Linked DNA regions of Callithrix jacchus. The protein of the gene in region 1 interacts with the protein of each later gene in a pairwise test. Links are inferred from orthologs where the notes say so. Each region holds a gene or a part of one and is shown on either strand. Other genes may lie near its edges.

Region 1 (4,769 bases):
GCCACAGATGAAAAATCATGAGTAAGTATTAGACAAATACTAATGGGAGGGCTTTCTGAAAAATTACTAGCCTGGAATTTCTGAAAAATATGGATGTCATGGAGAGAAAGTAAGATTGATAAAATGTTCCAGAAAGAGTCATAACAGCAAAATACAACACTGAATCTTGGGATGAATTTGGGATTCTTTTTTAAGGAAAGGAAGGAGAGGGGAGAGGAGGAGACTTCTTTTTTTTGACACAGGATCTTGCTCTGTTGCTCAGGCTGGAATGCAGTGGTGAGGTCATGGGTCACTGCAGCCTAGAACTCCTGGGCTCAAATGGTCCTCACACCTCAGCCTCCCAAGTAGCTAGGACCACTGGAGCATGCCACCACACCTGGCTAATATTTTTATTTTACTTTGTAGAGATGGGGTTTCACTATGTTGCCCAGGCTGATCTCACATTCCTGGACCCCAGAGACCTTCCTGCCTTGGGCTCCCAATGAGCTGGGATTACAGACATGAGTCACTGTGCCTGGTCTGGATTTTAGATTTTTAAAGGACTTTATTGAAAACTTTTTTTTTTTTTTTTTTTTTGAGATGGAGCCTGGGCTCTGTTGCCCAGGCTAGCGTGCAATGGCAAGATCTCTGCTCACTGCAACCTCGGCCTCGCAGGTTCAAGTGATTCTCCTGCCTTGGCCTTATGAGTAGCTGGAATTACAGGTGCTCGCCACCAAACCCAGCTAATTTTTTTTTCGTTTTTTTAGTAGAGACGGTTTCTCCATGTTGGCCAGGCTGGTCTCAAACCCCTAACCTCAAGTGATCCAAATGCTGAGATTACAGGCATGAGTCACTATGCCCAGCCTTTGAATGGGTTCTGGGAATTACATCATAATATTAGATGAACATTAATTTTCTGATTTTGAATGTTATACTGTGATTATGTGCAAAAGTGTGCTTATACTTAGAAAATATATAGTGCAGTCTTTTTTAGAAAAATCGATATGTCTTAGAGATGTGGGGAGGTGAGTTTGCTATGTTGCCGAGGCTGGCCTTGAACTCCTGGGCTCAGGTGATCCTCTTGCCTCAGCCTCCTGAGCAGCTGGGACTACAGTCCCGCGCCACCATGGTTGGCTAACTTACTGGTAAATTTTTGGATTTTGAGACAGTCTTACTCTGTTGTCTAGGCTGGAGTGCAGTGGCACGATCTCGGCTTGCTGCAACCTCTGCCACCTGGGTTCAAGCGATTCTCCTGCTTCAGCCTCCCGAGTAGCTGGAATTACAGGCGCCTGCCACCGCATTGGCTAATTTTTGTATTTTTAGTAGAGACGGGATTTCACCATGTTGGCCAGGCTGGTCTTGAACCCCTGACCTCAGGCCATCCGCCCACCACTTTTAAATTGTTTGTAGAGACGGGATCTCAAATTAATCTCACTATGTTGTCCAAACTGGTCCCCATCTTCTGGGCTCCAGTGATCCGTCTCGGCCTCCCAGAGTGCTGGGATTACTGCGCCCGGCCAGTCTAAAAAAAAAAGTTGAATTCTGCTGCGGGTTTATTGATTAGAGAACGCCGGCGGTCTGCAGGTGGCGCAGCAGCACCCCTGGCGCCTGGGGCGGGGAGGGGGCGGGGCCAGTGCTGTGGGCGGAGCCAAGACGCGGCAGGGGCGGGGCCCGCAGCAGCGGCGCAGCTGGGCCTCTGCGGCCCAGGGCGTCCCCCGTCGCCTCCGGCCCCGCCTCTCGGGGCGGGACGTGCATGGCGATTGGCAAGTGCGGGCGAAAGGCGGTCGCTATTGGCCCGCGGAGCTGTCGGCTCGGCGGGCGGTGCCCGGACGCAGGTGCCGGCCGGAGCGGACCTAGTGGCGCCGACGTGCCGGGCCGGGCCGGGACCCGGGCCGGGGCAAACGGAGGGGCCTGTGTGGCCGCCCGGCCCGGCCGCGGATCAGGTAGGCACGGGCCTGCAGGTAGGGCCGGAGGACGCCAGTCCGCGCGCCGGCCCCGGGTTCGAGGCCGGAGCTCGGTACCCGGGAGGGACGGCTGGGCTGGATCCCTTGGCCACAGCTTTCTTGGGGACGCGGGGACCCCAGTTCCCTTGTCAAAGCCGGTGGAAGGTCCCCGGGGTCCGGCACACAGTAGGCGCCTCTTCGAGCCTTGGTTTCCCCACCTGTAAAACCGGGTCATCCCATTATCAACCTCATAGGGCTTCTGGGAGGATTCAGAAGGTTGGCTGGTGCAGAGAGCGCTTGGCACACAGTAGGCAACTACCAAGTGGCCAATGCCCTTCCCCAACCTTCTTCTCAGAGTGGCTCTGCCTACAAAATAGTAAGTTAGAATATAATGAGCCAGCCACTTTGCACAAAGATCTTCAAACAGGATGCCCTGTGCTGTGTCGGTGCTCAAAACAGGGTAGTCAGAATGGGTATGATGAGCTCATTCAGTTCTTTTGAAACCATACTGACTAGGTGGAAGCACTAGAAATGTCCCCTCTAATACAGGTGAGAGAGTCCAGGCTCAGAGAGGTTAAGTGTCTTGCCTAGGGCCACACAGCACATAAGGAGTAGAGCTGGGATTGGAACCTCCCTTCTCATGCAGGCCTAAAAGAACTGAAGGATGCACAAGAGCCTCTCTATGGTGAGGGAATAGAAATGAATGCAATGACAGCCTCCACATTTACCCTAAAAAATATTAATAGTGAGCTTTTATTGAGCACTTACTGATTGTGTGACCTCTCATCAACAGCTCTGTAAACTGATCATAGTTGTTAGAATAAAAGCTAATATTGGCCGGGCGAGGTGGCTCACACTTCTAATTCCAGCACTTTGGGAGACCAAGGTGGGCAGATCACAAGATCAGGAGTTCAAGACCAGCCTGACCAACATGGCGAAACCCCGTCTCTACTAAAACAAAAATTAGCCAGGTGCAGTGGTGCAGCCCTGTAATCCCAGCTACTCAGGAGGCTGAGGCAGGAGAATCACTTAATACTGGGAGGCGGAGATTGCAGTGAGACGAGATCACGCCACTGCACTCCAGCCTTGTGAACAGAGCAGGACTCCATTTAAAAGAAAAAATAAAGAGCTAGTATTATGAACTACATATCATTATGATGCCCCCTCTTTTTAAAAAAGTTTTTGGAACAGAGTCTTACTTTGTCACCCAGGCTGGAGTGCAGTGGTGCAATCTTGGCTCACTGCAACCTTCACCTCCCAAGTTCAAGCGATTCTCCTGTTTCAGCCTCCCAATTGGCGGGGATTTCAGGCAGGCACCACCATGCCCAGCAAATGTTTGTATTTTTAGTAGAGACGGGGTTTTGACATATTGGCCAGGCTGGTCTTGAACTCCTGATGTCAAGTGATTCACTTGCCTCAGCCTCCCAAAGTGCTGGGATTACAGGCATGAGCCACTGCACCCAGCCTCCTTCCTCCTGTTTTTTTTTTTTTTTTTTTTTTTTAGATGGAACCTCTCTGTTGCCCAGGCAGTGGCACGATTACAGCTCACTGCAACATCTGCCTCCCAGGTTCCAGCGATTCTCCCGCCTTAGCCTCCCAAGTAGCTGAGATTACAGGCGCCTACCATCATGCCCAGCTAATTTTTGTCTTTTTAGCCAAGACAGGGTTTCATCATGTTGGCCAGGCTGGTCTCAAACTCCTGGCCTCAAATGATCCACCTTCGACGAGCTCCCAAACCTGCTGGGATTACAGCTGTGAGCCACTGCACCCAGCCTATAACGCCCATTTTATAGATGAGAATACTGCGGCTGAGAGAGTAAAACAGCTGTCTGAGATCACACTGCAGGAAGTTTTAGGGCCCTCTGTTTCCTACCTTCAGGAAAAGGAGGCTGGGCAGGTATGAAAAAGACTGGGGTGGGGGCCTCAGTGTCACCCCAAACAAGCCTAGCCAAGGATGAATTACTTGATGAATTCAGCCTGGAGGCTTCTTCTCAGTAGACCCCTCCACAAACACAGTCCACTAGCTCCATCATTAGAATGAGGCCCAGAGAAGCAAAGTGACTTGAACCAGGATACCCAGCATCGGTGGCAGAGCCAGGAGAGCCAGGAGTTAAAGAATCAAGGTCTCTTGAGGTCCAGACCCACTCCCTGGAGTGTTTTAAGTTTGAATTCTGATACCACCCATTCCTAGCTGTCTGATTGTGGGGAAATAGGTGCCTCTCTCTGAGCCTCAGCCTCTCCCCACATTATAGGGTATAATTATTGGTTTGTTGTGAAGACTCAATGCGATCTATCTCCAGGCTGGGAGTGGTGGCTCATGCCTGTAATCCCAATATTTTGTGAGGCTGAGGCCGGCAGATCACTGGAACCCAGGAGTTCAGGACCAGCCTGGGCAAAACATGGCAAAACACCATCTCTATAAAAATTAGCAGGGCTTGGTGGTGTGCAGAGCTACTTAGGAAGCTGAGGTGGTAGGATCACCTGAACTGGGGTGGTAGAGCTGTGATTGCTCCACTGCCCTCCAGCCTTGTGGGTGACAGAGTGAGACCCCGCCTCAAAAACAAAAAAACAGACGAAAGAAAAGAAATAGGCCAGGCACACAGTGATTCAAGCCTATAACCTCAGCACTTTGGAAGGCCGAGGCAGGTGGGGTCAGGAGTTTGAGGCCAGCCTGGCCAGCATGGTGAAACCCTGTCTCTACTAAAAATACAAAAAATTAGCTGGGCGTAGTGGTGGGCACCTGTAATCCCAGCTACTCTGGAGGCTGAGACAGAAGAATCGCTTGAAGCTGAGGAGCTGAGATCGTGCCATTGCACTCTACCCTGGGCAACAAGAGTGAAACTCTGT
Region 2 (4,926 bases), on another chromosome or scaffold:
ATGATGTGCTTTTTACCTGAAATTTAAATGTACTTTGTACCTGTACTTTCATTTGCTCAATATGGCAAACGTGACTGGGCTTCCCAGGCTCCTAAATCCCACTGAACTGAGCACCCTCCACAGTTTCTCTGCTTCCAAGGTGGCCCTCCAGAAAGCTCAAATTTCATTGCAGCTGCTCCACTGGAGCTGAGAAGGGCTTCTTTGGGGCCCCCAGGAATGCAGGCAGGGACTACATCAGCTCTGCTTCCCAAGAGCTCGGCCCCAGCACTGGACAGGTGAGATGGGGGCAGGGGGCAGTCAGTCTCAGACCAAGCAGCCCTATCTCAGCTAGTCCTGGCCCCTTCTTCTCTGTTTCCCTCCCTCCCTCCCTTTCTACCTATCTCCCTTCCTCCCTTCCTCCCTCCCTCTTTTCCTCCTTTCTTCCACCTCTTCCTCCCACTTGGCCCAGGGACTCTGGGGGAAGAGGAGGCTATTTGGAAAAGGAACCAGGACAGGTTTATAAAGGATTCCTTTTACAAATAGCCTCCTATTACCCCAGGGGCTCTGGGGTTGTTTCCTAAATGAAGGGTTCAGCATTGGTGGTTGTAGCAATCAGGGTTTTCAGAGAAACAGAGCTGATAGGATATATGTATGTATGTATGTATGTATGTATGTATGTATGTATGTATCTACATATGCACAAATATAGAGAAATTTATTTTAAGAAATTGGCTTATGTGACTGTGGGCCTCACAAGTCTGAAATGTACAGGACAGGCCGGCAGGCAGGAGACTCAGGCAAGAGTTGACCCTGCAGTCTTGGGGTTGAAATGCCTCTTCTCTGGAAACCTCAGTCTTTGCTCTTCAGGCCTCTCAGTTGATTGCGTGAGACCCACCCACATCATCGAGGATGAGTCTCTACTTTATTTCAAGTCCACTGGTTGTAGATGCCAATCACAGCTACAAATTGCCTCATCAGCAACACCTACACGGTGTTTGATGGAATCACCAGGGGCAAGTGCCTGGCCCAGGTGACTCATAAACCTGACCATCACAGTGGTCTAGTCAGTAGGTAAGCTGAGGGAGAATTGGAACTTAGAAGGTGCAGGGCCTGAGGCCCTTGGGGTTCTAGTGGCTGCAGTCAGGTCACACCTCTTTCACCCTTCCCTCCTTTGGTTCTCATGGCTCCTGCCTAGGCTGACCGACTTCAGAAAAAGGCTGCCTCCTGTGTTTGGGGACTCTGGATATGGGAGGTAGGATATGCTCTCCAGAGAATCCCTTTTGAAGGCATGGTATGGCCTGGATTGCTAGGACCTAACTCTGCTGTGGCCACTGTGTGGCTCTTGGACCCTGTGCCAATCCTTGCATCTGCCTAGAAATGATGATGGGATCCCCCATGAGCTAAATCTGGAGATCCATGAGCCAGAGCAGTTCTCACAGGCAAAAGCTTGGAGTTGTATCTCTTCTAAGCTGCTTACAGAGTTGCAGGGGAGAACGCCATGGACCCAACCAATTAGATACAATGGGAACAGAAGGTACTCAGTCCAAGGCCTCAGCCTAGAGAGGGAGTGTCACTCCACCCCCAGGTCCTACTATATCTTCCTTGAGCTCCTGTCCCTGGAAGAGGCGATTTTCTGAGTGTGACTCCTCTGTTTCTGGCACCCTGCACATTTTTAGCCATTGCTTACAAGTGAACAGCTGGTTATGATGGCAGGAGGCCCTATCAGCACCAGGGAGGAGGTAGAAATATCCCTGGCTGAAGAACTGAATCATGGAAGCCAAGGGCAAAACCAAGAGCACCTGGGGATAGCAGGTGAGGATCCTCTAAAATACCACTTGGCTATAGCCAACTCTGTAGATACGTGTCTATACCTGTGCATGTGTGTGTTGGAAAAGGTGCATGTGTGCAAGGAAGTGTTTGCACATGTGTGTGTTGGGGAGCTTCGAGGATTTGTGGGTTGATGATAAGGGAGGTAGGGAAAAGGGAGCATTTTTCCTACTGTCTCCCACTTGTCCAAGCCACCACCATGTCTGTTGCAAAATACTCAGAGAGCTCAAATTACAAGATCAGAGATCAATTCTCTCTCCCAATGCTCTAATTCATTTCCCTGCCCTTCAGAGGAAAGTCCAAACTCCACAGTCTATAAGATAGTATCAGCCTCCTCAAAACATTTCATGCTATGATATAGACAGAAAATATCATTTCTATAGCTCACAAAAGGGCCAAGATCACACTGCATTTATGTTTGTTATTACAATGCTGCAAGCGTGCTTATTCCCCAAAGACCTTGCATTTGCTGTTTCTTCTGTCTGGAATGTGCTTTCCCTCAATTTCCCAGGGCTGGGTCCTTTATTTCTTTCAGGTCCCTGCTTCAGTTTTTGTCTCCTACTTTTTAGAGGGAGCCCTTTCCTTCTACTATGTTACCATGTTTTGATCGTTTATGGAGCCTGTGTCTCTCTGTCTGCATTTGCGAGGATAGATTACTTTCTGCTGTACACCTGTCATTCCCCCTTATACACAAACAGATGGTCAGTTCTTTGAGAGCTGGAATCTTGTTCTTGATCATTGCTTTCTAAGTGAATAGAGAGTAACCTAGTCTCGAGCTCAGCCATCAGGAAATGCTTGATTAACTTTTGAACAAATGAACAAACTGAGGCCTGGGATCAGCTGGTGGATAGTGTTGAACGGGTGTTGAGTGATTCCCGAGAAGGCTGTGGCCTCTGCCTTCTTTTATGCTGTGTTTCGTGTCCAAAAAGCCCTGGTATAACTTCTGTGGGTGCTCCTGAGGCCTCTGTTCTTCTCTCTAGAAGTGATGGATCATAGATCTCGGTCCCTCAGTGTCCCCCAGAAGAGGCAGAAGGTGGAATCAAAAGCTGCAGGCTCTGCTGAAGCCAAACCAGTTTGGAATATGACTGCCACCCGGCCCAAGAAAATGGTACTGTATGGGGTCCTCAGCATAAGGTGGCCAGGTTGGGATTGGGAGTACTGTTTGTAGGGGCTCTTGCCTCACCAGGTCAGTCAGGGCTAGACATTGACTTGGGAGGAAGAGAAAGCTCCTGTGTTCCGAGCTGGCAAATGAGGAAAGGAAGGTCCAGTTAAAGGTCACGGTCATCCTTTCCTATACTAGAGGTTCAACCTTGGGAGTTCGGAATTCTTGAAACAAATATTGCTTAGGGAGTAAATAAATACTTTACTTTGTAAATCTATTGCGTGAAATAATGCTTTCCTGTATTTAAAATTATGTGTGTGGTACACGTGTGTGTATACACACAATAAGTCAGGTGAGGCTCCTATCCTTTCTGGCTGTTAAGAAATCCAGTCAAGTGGCCTGGCATGGTGACTCATGCCTGTAATCCCAGCACTCTGAGAGGAGGAGATGGGCAGATCACTTGAGGCCAGGAGTTCGAGACCAGTCTGGCCAGTATGGTGAAACCCCCATCTCTATTAAAAATAAAAAAATTAGCTGGGCATGGTGGCACATGCCTGTAATCCCAGCTACTCAGGAGGCTGAGGCATGAGAATCGCTTGAACTCAGGAGGCAGAGGTTGCAATGAGCCAAAATCATGCTACTGCACTCCAGCCTGGGCAACAGAGAGAGACTCTGTAAAAAGAAAGAAGGGGGTGGGGGAGAGAGAGAGAGAGAGAAGAAGCAAGGAAGAAAGGAAGAAATCCAGTGAAGTGAATCTGACAATTTTGTAGCCAATGCTTTTAAGCTACATTCAATATGGGTGAAGAAATATTCTAGAACAAATAGTGGCTATACTGCTGCAAATGATATTGAGAAAAACAGTCATTTTGGAGGGAGAGGGAATTCTGACTCTTCTGGAGAATTAGGTGAGTTCCACAGTTCTGTAGCCAATCCTTTTAGCTAGCTACATTCACTGTGGGTAAGGGAAAGTTTTAGAAAAATTGATATGCTGTTGCAAAGGCTGCTGGGAAAAGGCAACAGGATTGGAGAGGGAGGGAGGACTGACTGCTCCAGGAAATAATGTGAGTCCCACGGTTCTGTGGCCAATTCTTTAAGCTACATTCACTGTGGATGTTGAATGTTCTAGAAAGATGCTGGCCACATTGTCGCAAAGGATACTGAAAAAGGCATTTATTTTGGAGAGAAGGGAGACCTGACTGCTTTAGGGAATCACAAATCCCATCTTTCTGTAGCCAATGCTTTTCACCACATTCAGGTTGGTGAGGAAAAATTAATAAAATTTTAGAAAATGGTGGTTTTTACTGTTACCACAGAAAAGTTTGGAAGTTACTGGGAAAGGGAGGGAGACTTGATTGCTGAAATGATTTGTTGGATGGCCCCAGGGAAGATTGAGAAAAAAGGCTTCCAGGTTTAAAGATTTCCTGGGAATAAAAATAGGTCAGATGTTGATCTGGCTTCCTGTGTCCAAAGACAGAAGCCAAATCAAGCTGCCCAGGAGGTCAGGCTCCGAGACTAGGGAGAATATCACCTCTGGTTTAATTAAAGCTGGTTATGAGGGCTAGAGGCAGACTGCCTGAAAATATACCCTTATACTGAATTTAGAAATTCAATTTAGAAATTTAGAATTAGGAAATCTAATTTATTTATTTATTTATTCCTTTATTTTTGAATAAAACAGCTGATGGAACTGCCTCTACGAGAACCATAATATGCAAAGGCGAGAAAAGTTAAAAATGCTTTCCTGATGACTCGGAAAAAGTAGTGTGCCTTTAAAGTTACATGGAAGTAAAAGTAACATTTTTGGAAATGATTAACAGAGAGAAACAAACAAACAAAATCCAGCCATTTCTATTTTTATTTTTTGCCTTCGAATCTCTCAAATATATTTTTTTATCCTTCTGATTCCAATTTATAGGAAAGTCAAGCGATTATAGTCATGGGGTCTCCCTAATACCCATTATATTTTTTCATGCTATTTTTGAAATATCTTAAGAAAATGAAATATTGTGATGGTGAAC
Region 3 (3,385 bases), on another chromosome or scaffold:
GCCCCCCTGCTCCGCGCTGGGCCACAGCCTCCAGCCGGCTGCGCGGCCACGGAAACGGAAGGGAGGAGGGGGCCGGGAAAGAATGGCTCAGCTGAGCGCCGCCTGCGCCCTGCAGCCCCTGGGCCCCGTAGCGCCCCGGGAACACCGGGAAGGGGCGCAAGGTGGGGGCGGCGTTGCAGGGCAAGGCCCCAGGCAGATGCTGGACCCAGGGAAGCCGGGGGTGTCGGTGGCTGAGGGGAGGCGCGCAGTCCTAGCACCAGGCCTGGGCCACCGCAGGAGAGGACCAGGGAACCCTGGGCCAGCTCTCCCCACCTCATGGTATTCCCTAAGGAGAGGCTCAGGCGCCAGCTTCTATTTGAATAAAATTTCCAAGTAAATATCCCGAACAGAGGCTGCTTCTCAGGGACAGGCCCTGGTGGCTCCGACTCCATCCTCCTACCCCCAGGCAGGGGCTTCCTGTCCTAAGGGAGGCCTAGGGCATTCAGAGGGCAGGGGCTGGTGGGTGGAGAGGTGCAGAGTTTTCCATGTGGGACTCTGGCTTCCCCTAGCAAGTAGTCTTGGTTCAGCTAGGCCCCCGCTTTAGGCCTCAGCCCCATAGCCCTGGCAGCCAGGTCACTTCAGCCCAGGAAGGCACAATATGCCCAGTTGCTCTTCACACTGCTGGAGACAAGTCCTTTGGAAGTGCTCTCTGCTCAGCTCCTAAGGTTCAGGGGTCACCGGCCCCACCCCAGGGGGCTGCCTCCTTCCACTAGGGCTGGTACAACCTCCAACCCCTTGGAGGACTTTGGCCGTCTGACTCAAGCCCACATCCAGGCAGGCTGGCCACTGCGAAGGCCTAACTGGCCCCCAGCCGCCATGAAGGGGCAATGGTACCACACTGGAGACTGGCCCTGGTTTGCATAGTCTGCACGTTTAATCACTTTAAAACCTCTAACATTATCTCGTGTCCATTAAATAGAACCAACAATGCTGGGCCTGTTTAAATTACAAGAAAAAAATCACTGTGCACCAACCCAGTGTCTTACAAAACCAGCCGGGCTGGCCAAGAGGGTGGGGGGATGGGAGGAGGGGGCACCCCTGGGCAGGTGGCTGGGTACCAGGAATGGCTAGGGGAAAGAAAAGGGGGCTCCCAGGTTGGAGGGGACTGATTGTCCTAATGGGAGGGGTGCAAAAGGCACGTCAGAAGAGGGGTTTTGGGGGGCTTGCCAGGTCAGTGCTTTCTCCACCAGGGCACAGTGTTGAGGGGGCTGAGTGTCACCACCTGCCCACCCCTGGCACTTGGAGAGCCAGTGACCTCTGGGCCCTTGGCTTGGCGAGCCCCACTTGAAAACAGATGTTAGCCTGCCCTCCCACCAGGGGACCCCCTTTCCTCCAGCCCACCTGGCTGGCCTGCCTCTTCAGGACTTGGGGCTCAACTTTTCCTCACTCCTCAGAACATGCTGCAGCCCCCACAGCTCAGGGCCAGGGCAGCCAAGGAGGAGCATGGTGGACGGTGGGTGTGAGAAGGTGGGTAGTCCAGCTGCTACCCCCATTAAAAATACAAAACAAATCATCAGCATCTAAAGTGAAATCATCACAAAGTGAAAATATATCCTCAAACAGCCCCTGAGATCCCCACAGGGGAAAGCAGCATCGGGTGGGAGGCCAGAGAGGCTGGCTGGGCCACCGCCCCTCCCCACCACCCACCCAGGGGCTCCAGGTCTGTGAGTGCCAACAGCTCAGGCAGCCCGGGCTCAGAAAACAGGGACTTGGGCCCCAACCAGAGAGGCGGGTGCAAGAGAAGGGAGGGTGGCGAGGACACCAGCACAGGGTTCTGACAGCTTCCGCCTTAGCTGTGCCAACCTGGCAGCCAGTGGTTGTGGAGACATGGAGCACAAGGTGGGCCAGGGGACACTGGCCACGTGCACACCCAGAGGCACCTGCCTTGCCTTGGTCCCTTCCTATGATGGCTGCTGCCGCCAAGACTCACTAGAGCTAGGGGACAGGGTGGAGGATGCGAAAGCCCTTGGAGAGGTGGCCTCCTCCCACAAATGCCTCCCAGGCCAGCCTCCCAACTGCCTGGATGGGGACCATTATTGCTTTAGAGGGACAGGGAAGGGCAAGAGCGGTGGCCTGGGTCAGGAATCCCAACAAGCAAGGGCTGCCCATCTTCACTCCGCAGGAACTCTGGCTGTGGCCGGGGCTGGCTGCCCTGAAGGTTTCACTCCTTTCTCCACATGGAGGGGGCACTGAGGGTAGGATGGGAAGCAGTCTCCACCCCTCTTGCCTCCCAGCTGGGGTCCAAACCCAGTCCCAAGATAAAAAAATACTTTGGTGAATTAAAAAGTGCCCAAGGAGGGGATTGGCTTGAGGGGGTGGGCAGTGGGCTCATCAGAGGGCGCTCTGGTCTTTGATAAAGGCGGTCCTCTCGCCCCGGCCCTCATCCTCTTCTGAGTCGGATGGACACTCCTCCTGCCAGGCTTCAGGGGGCAGCCCCTTATAGGAGATGAGGCCACGGTCCATGGTGTACACCTTCACCCCCCGGAAGCTAAAGCCAGAGCGCAGCTGCAGGACCAGGAAGACAGTGACGAAGACCAGCACGATGAAGGCGCAGCTGAGGCCGGCCACCACCTCAGGCAGGTGAGAGGGCAGCAGGCCTGCCCGCAGCCGCGGCTCCTCCTCCACCTCTGGGGGCAGCCGGGGTGGTGGCTGCTGCTCTGGCGGGGACTCTCGGCTGCTCTGGCTTTGCCGGGAGCAAGTTTGCTCCACAGGGTCCAAAGAGGCGTGGCTGGGGCAGCTGAGGCAGTCTGTGGGGGCCGGTCCCTGGCATGTGGCACATGAGGCATGGCAGGGGGCGCAGATGCTGGCCCGGATGGTCTCCACATCATTCTCGGTGCTATAGTGTGTATCCAGAACTTGGGGGGCAAAACCTGGAGGGCAGTGCTGCACGCAGCTCTTCTGGTGCAGGGAGAAGCCTTCCTCACACACTGTCGGCGTAGGAGAGAGGGTGAGTGTGTGTCAGCTACAGAGACTGTAGCCATAGGGCCACAGCTGCCCCAGGGCAACTCACCACACCCCCAGGCTTCCCCAGCCCCAGGACTGTGGTTATCCCAAGCACCCCAGGTCTCTTGAGACCTTTTTCTCTTAAAGCTGGGATTCAGGACAAGCACCCGCCTTCCCCCTAGACTCAGGCCCCCAAAGCCCAACAGTACCCACTACTGACCCACACAGGCCTGGCTGGATGTGAGGGTCTTGCAGCCGCTGCTTTCAGGAGGTACAGGCAGCCCCTCAGGAGCTGTGCCATAGAGCACGAGGGTGAACTTGGTCAACGTCCCTATTCCAGAGAGGGAAGTAGGCAAAAGTGGGATAGTGCTGGCACCATGCCCAGCGCCCCAGGTCCTGCCAG
Region 4 (4,576 bases), on another chromosome or scaffold:
GTAATAGCTACCTTAAAGTTTGCTGAAAGGATTAGAATTTGTTGAGTTAATGTGTTAGAACAGTGCTTGGCACATAGTAAATGATGAATATGAGCTATTATTATTGCTTAAAAAAATTTTTTTTTAATTTTAGAGATAGGGTCCGGCTCTGTTGCCCAGGCTGGAATGCAGTGGTGCAATCATAGTTCACTGCACACTCTAAGTCCTGGGCTCAAACAGTCCTCCTGCCTCGGCCTCCCAAAGTCCTGTAACAGCTGCGCACTGCTGTGTCTGGGCTGTTATTGCTTGTTGAGGACTTGCCACGTGCCAAGCTTTATTCTAAGCACTGGAAATCACAGTGATAGGGGATGTCCCTGCTCTTGTAAAACTGTACTTTAATTCTCTCCTGCTTACAAAATAATAACAGAAGCCTTTACTAAGGACCTCCTGGTGCCCCGCTGTGTGGCTCCAGCTCTGGTCCTTGCCCTCTGCAGCTTGTTATTGCACTTAGAAGGCAAAGCATGGACATGTCTGAAGGAGCGTGGGAGCTACTGACCTGCCCAGGCCACAGGTACCTCAGAGAAAGGGGCAGGGGCAGGTATGATTCACCCTGTGACCCCAGGACCCAGCCCAGAGCCAGGCACATGGTGGGAGCTTTTTTTTTGCGGGGGGGTTCTTTTTTTTTGAGATGGAGTCTCGTTCTATTGCTCAGGCTGAAATGCGGTGGCATGATCTCGGCTCACTGCAACCTCTGCCTCCCAGGTTCAGGAGATTCTCTTGCCTCAGCCCCCCAAGTAGCTGGGATAACAGGTGGCTGCCACCACATCTGGCCAAGTTTTGTATTTTCAGTAGAGATGGGGTTTCACCCTGTTGGCTAGGCTGGTCTCCAACTCCTGACCTCAGGTGGTCACCTACCTTGGCCTCCCAAAGTGCTGGGATTACCGGTGTGAGCCACCGTGCCAGGCCCAGAGATTTGTGAACACTCTGTGAATATGCTAGCCCAGGGGTCCAGGAGACAAGGGAAGGCCCCCACTATGGGTCAGTTATTTTCAATCCATTCACATTTCTGATGCAGGGTCCTCAGAAGCCGGGTGGGATTTCCACAGGCAGGTAAGGGAATGGTGCAAAGAAAGGGGCTTCCAGGCAGAGGGCGTGGCAAGTGGAAAGGTCTGGTGGTTGCAGGTGGGGGAGCACAAGTGGCCTGGCGTGGCGGGGCTCCAGGATGGATGTGCGCTGGGAGGGATACGATGGTATTCAAGGCAGCAGGAATCTAAAACCCCGTCATCCCTACAGCCCTAGCTGGTGGCTCTGTGGCCGTCAGCAAACAGGGTAAACTCAGGTAACCAGGGAGGCAGCGTGACTCTGGGCAGGGAGAGGTGTGCTGGTCAGCCAAGCAGCTCCTCAAATATTTGTGCAGCACAGACCACGTGCAAGATGTTGCCACGGGAGAACCGGCAGAACCAAGGCTCCTGCCCAGGTGAAGCTGTTGCGCTTCAAAGCCAGAAAGCCCTTAGGTGCCAGTCCCTTCCCTGCACAGATGAGGAAAAGGAGGCTATTCTTGCCACAACCACACCCGTCATGAGTCAGGACTTGGAAAAAAACAAACACCGGTATGCGGCAACAAAAGCCCTGGGGCTTTGTAACCAGAGAGACCTCAGTTCACATTTGAACCCTGGCCCTCCGGCCTCCCCGCTGTATGACCTTGGCCTGGTTACCCAACTTCTCTTAGTTTCAGCTGCCTTATCTGTGATTGCCCCATGACAGAGCCCCTGTCTCAGAGCTGTCCTGGGGATTAAAGGGGCCATGCAGTGCCAGGCACATAACTGTACTGGGTCCTTTATAGTTGGTATTTTCATCTACCTCTCTGGGTGTGTCTCCTCATTGATCAAATGTGGGCCACGCCAGGGCATATACAATGCTCAATACATGTCTGTTTCTTCCTTCTATCTTCAGAAGGGTAAAGAGAACTGTTCTGGTCACACTGTGGGCCAGCGGCACATAGTAGGGCTAAATAAATGTGTCTCAGAGGTAAAGAGAATTGTCCAGGTCACCCACTGAGTCAGTTTGATGCTGTATTACAGGTGGGCACTGAATGCAGTTTGGTGCCTGTGAGGTCGGCAGCACACAGTAGGTGCTTAATAAATATGTGTGCATGGAGAGAATGAATAACCCTATTAAGCAAGTGACTGTCAGCATCTGACCAGGAAGCTGGGAGCAGACAACATTAACATGGGGCAGAGGTCTGAGGGGCAGCGGGAGCCTGGAATCCTCCAACCTTCCTCATGCCTCTATAGCCAACTGCCAGCTTCAAGGGAGCCCCACAGGGCACTGGCCCTGGGCCCTTCAGTTCTTTACCTTCCCCTCCAGGGAGGGCCTTGGGTCCAGCAGCAATGCGGCCATTCTCTCCCTGCCCAAGAGAACAGAGTGAGGGGTGGGCTTAGGTGAGGTGAGGTCCAGCCTCAGGGAGGCAGACAGCAGGGCTTTCAGAAGGGGTCACCGAGAGTCTTCGGTGGCACCGTGGCTCCCTCACACCCCAGCACGCTCAACGCCCCAGATGCCTCATGCCGGCTTCCCATTTCCACACCTTTGCCTGCACTGGGCCCTCTGTCTGGGGCGCCTTTTCCTCTGCTGTCCACCTGGCAAATATTCATCCTTCAAACTGGCGTGGGCAGCGACTCCTCGGTGAAGCTTTCCCTGATACCCAGTAAAGCTAACGCTCTCCCTTCCTGTCCACCCGGCTCCTCTGTGTCCGTCCCAGCACTTGCCACCTGGACTCTACAGCTGGGTCACTGGTAGGGCCCCCTACACCCTGGGAGTGAGCCCCGGGCCAGGACGGGGGCTGATTTTCCTCCATGTCTCCCATGTATGCCCACTCTCTACTGCCCACACTCCTCATCCCAAGGTTTGCTCTCCCAAGATCAGGAGCCTGGTCCAGGCAGCCCTTACCTCGGGGAAGACCTTGTTCATGTCTTCGGCTTTCAGCTCCCTGACTGGGGCTGTGTGCAGAGAGCTCAGCATGGGTTCCCTGCCTTGTCACCAGGGGCAGCCTGGAGGAGGGACAGGCAGGAGCTTTGCCTGGGCCACACCCTCCCTGTGGGCAGCCCCCTCCCTCCCAGCTGCCTTCCAAGCAGAGGCAAGGGCAAGAGGGCCCTGCTCTGGCCAGGCTGTTTCCTTCTCTGCCGTCTGACAGCAACACTGCGAGGCTGGAATCCTCATCCCCATCCACAGATGAAGAGCCAGAGGTTCAGAAAGGGAGAAACTGCCCCAGGTCGCACAGTAGGTGGGAGGGGTGAAACCCAGAAACTTTTCAAGAGTGCTTTTTCCTCCGCATCAGCGAGAGAACCGGAGGAGCTCTGGTTCCAGGGGGATGAAGATGCAGGTAGAAACTCCCGGAATTAACATTTCAGTGGCTAGAAAGCAGGGGTCATTTTCTCATTGCTGTTCTTTCTGTTAAACAACACAGGTAATCCAGATTGAAAGAATATGCACTTTCCGCTAAAAGTATAAAGCAAATATAACTTTAAATTATTTTCTTTAGAAGTGTGGCAATGTGAATTTTTACTGTCCCTGAGGTGGCACCCGAAGTAGGGAAGAGGAGGGGGGCTGGTTGCTTGCCTGAATAACCCCTTCTACGCTCCCAGTGAGTGGGTTTCCCTAGCAGCCTGTCCCACTGCTGAGTAAACCTGGAAGCTTGAGGGCCAAGTCCAATGACCCAGACCAAGAAAGGAGAGATGGCTACCTCCAGAAATGAGCTCAAGAGTTCTAGGGAGGATCCCCTTTCACCTGCCTCTGACGCCCATAGATTTTCCAACCTGCAATCAGCCTTTTCTTTTGCTTTGGGAAATAAAATGCTGAATCCATGTGGGTGCAAGTAGGAGGGGCAGGTGCAGGGGCAGCCCTTGGGAGGCAGCAAGTAACACTGCGCAGAGCTGACACCTAGACCAGGAGAACGGGGCTCTCAGTAGGGCCCTACCACTGGCTCTGACTTGGGCAATTCACTCCCCTTCCTGTGCCTCCGATCCTTCATCCATAAAATGAAGATATAAACCAGATGAAGGGGGTGTTTTAGTTTAGGATTCCCCAGAATCAGACTCTAAGACAATATTCGAGGGCAAGTAGATTTAACTGGGAGTGATCCCAGGAAACAGTGGTCGGGGAATGAGGGAAATGAGACTGGAAAGAGAAGGATCCTTAAACGCAGGTTCCTGCTGTGGGCAAGTGGAGTTCAGCCCTGTTGGGGCCCTCGGGGAAGCCAGGGGCAAAGATGCACCTCAGTGATCCCTCTCAAGGTGGGGGGAACTGGGGTATTAATCTGCCAGCTCCTGCCAGTCTTGGTTGAGAATGGCCAGAGGAGGCCAGGCATGGTGGCTCACACCTGTAATCCCAGCACTTTGGGAGGCCAGGCAGGTGGGTCACCTGGGAGTTCGAGACCAGCCTGGCCAACGTGGTGAAACCCTGTCTCTACTAAAAATACAAAAAATTAGCCAGGCGTGGTGGCAGTGCCCATCATCCCTCAGGAGACTGAGGCAGGAGAATCGCTTGAACCTGGGAGGCAGAAGTTGCAGTGAGCCAAGATTGCACTCCAGCCTGAGCATCA

Evidence for each region.
Region 2: the proteins of MARCHF2 (region 1) and FATE1 interact in binary tests that used the Homo sapiens proteins (3 or more experiments, as listed by UniProt). The two-hybrid records come from large-scale screens. The link is inferred for Callithrix jacchus from reciprocal best matches to the Homo sapiens genes MARCHF2 and FATE1.
Region 3: the proteins of MARCHF2 (region 1) and FURIN interact in a protein complementation assay, tested with the Homo sapiens proteins (2 studies listed by BioGRID). The link is inferred for Callithrix jacchus from reciprocal best matches to the Homo sapiens genes MARCHF2 and FURIN.
Region 4: the proteins of MARCHF2 (region 1) and LDLRAD1 interact in binary tests that used the Homo sapiens proteins (3 or more experiments, as listed by UniProt). The two-hybrid records come from large-scale screens. The link is inferred for Callithrix jacchus from reciprocal best matches to the Homo sapiens genes MARCHF2 and LDLRAD1.

Annotation. Positions count from the first base shown.
Region 1 is NC_133523.1:7,934,258-7,939,026, forward strand, and holds the start of MARCHF2 (E3 ubiquitin-protein ligase MARCHF2), read left to right. Parts: upstream 1-1,795; 5' UTR 1,796-1,922; intron 1,923-4,769. UniProt on the Homo sapiens protein: E3 ubiquitin-protein ligase that may mediate ubiquitination of TFRC and CD86, and promote their subsequent endocytosis and sorting to lysosomes via multivesicular bodies.
Region 2 is NC_133524.1:148,013,180-148,018,105, forward strand, and holds the start of FATE1 (fetal and adult testis-expressed transcript protein), read left to right. Parts: upstream 1-1,600; 5' UTR 1,601-1,682; coding exon 1,683-1,791; intron 1,792-2,786; coding exon 2,787-2,914; intron 2,915-4,926. UniProt on the Homo sapiens protein: Involved in the regulation of endoplasmic reticulum (ER)-mitochondria coupling. Negatively regulates the ER-mitochondria distance and Ca(2+) transfer from ER to mitochondria possibly implicating it in the regulation of apoptosis.
Region 3 is NC_133507.1:19,548,385-19,551,769, forward strand, and holds the end of FURIN (furin), read right to left. Parts: intron 3,314-3,385; coding exon 3,203-3,313; intron 2,967-3,202; coding exon 2,371-2,966; 3' UTR 890-2,370; downstream 1-889. UniProt on the Homo sapiens protein: Ubiquitous endoprotease within constitutive secretory pathways capable of cleavage at the RX(K/R)R consensus motif. Mediates processing of TGFB1, an essential step in TGF-beta-1 activation.
Region 4 is NC_133508.1:91,206,070-91,210,645, forward strand, and holds the start of LDLRAD1 (low-density lipoprotein receptor class A domain-containing protein 1), read right to left. Parts: upstream 2,984-4,576; 5' UTR 2,947-2,983; coding exon 2,926-2,946; intron 2,387-2,925; coding exon 2,335-2,386; intron 1-2,334.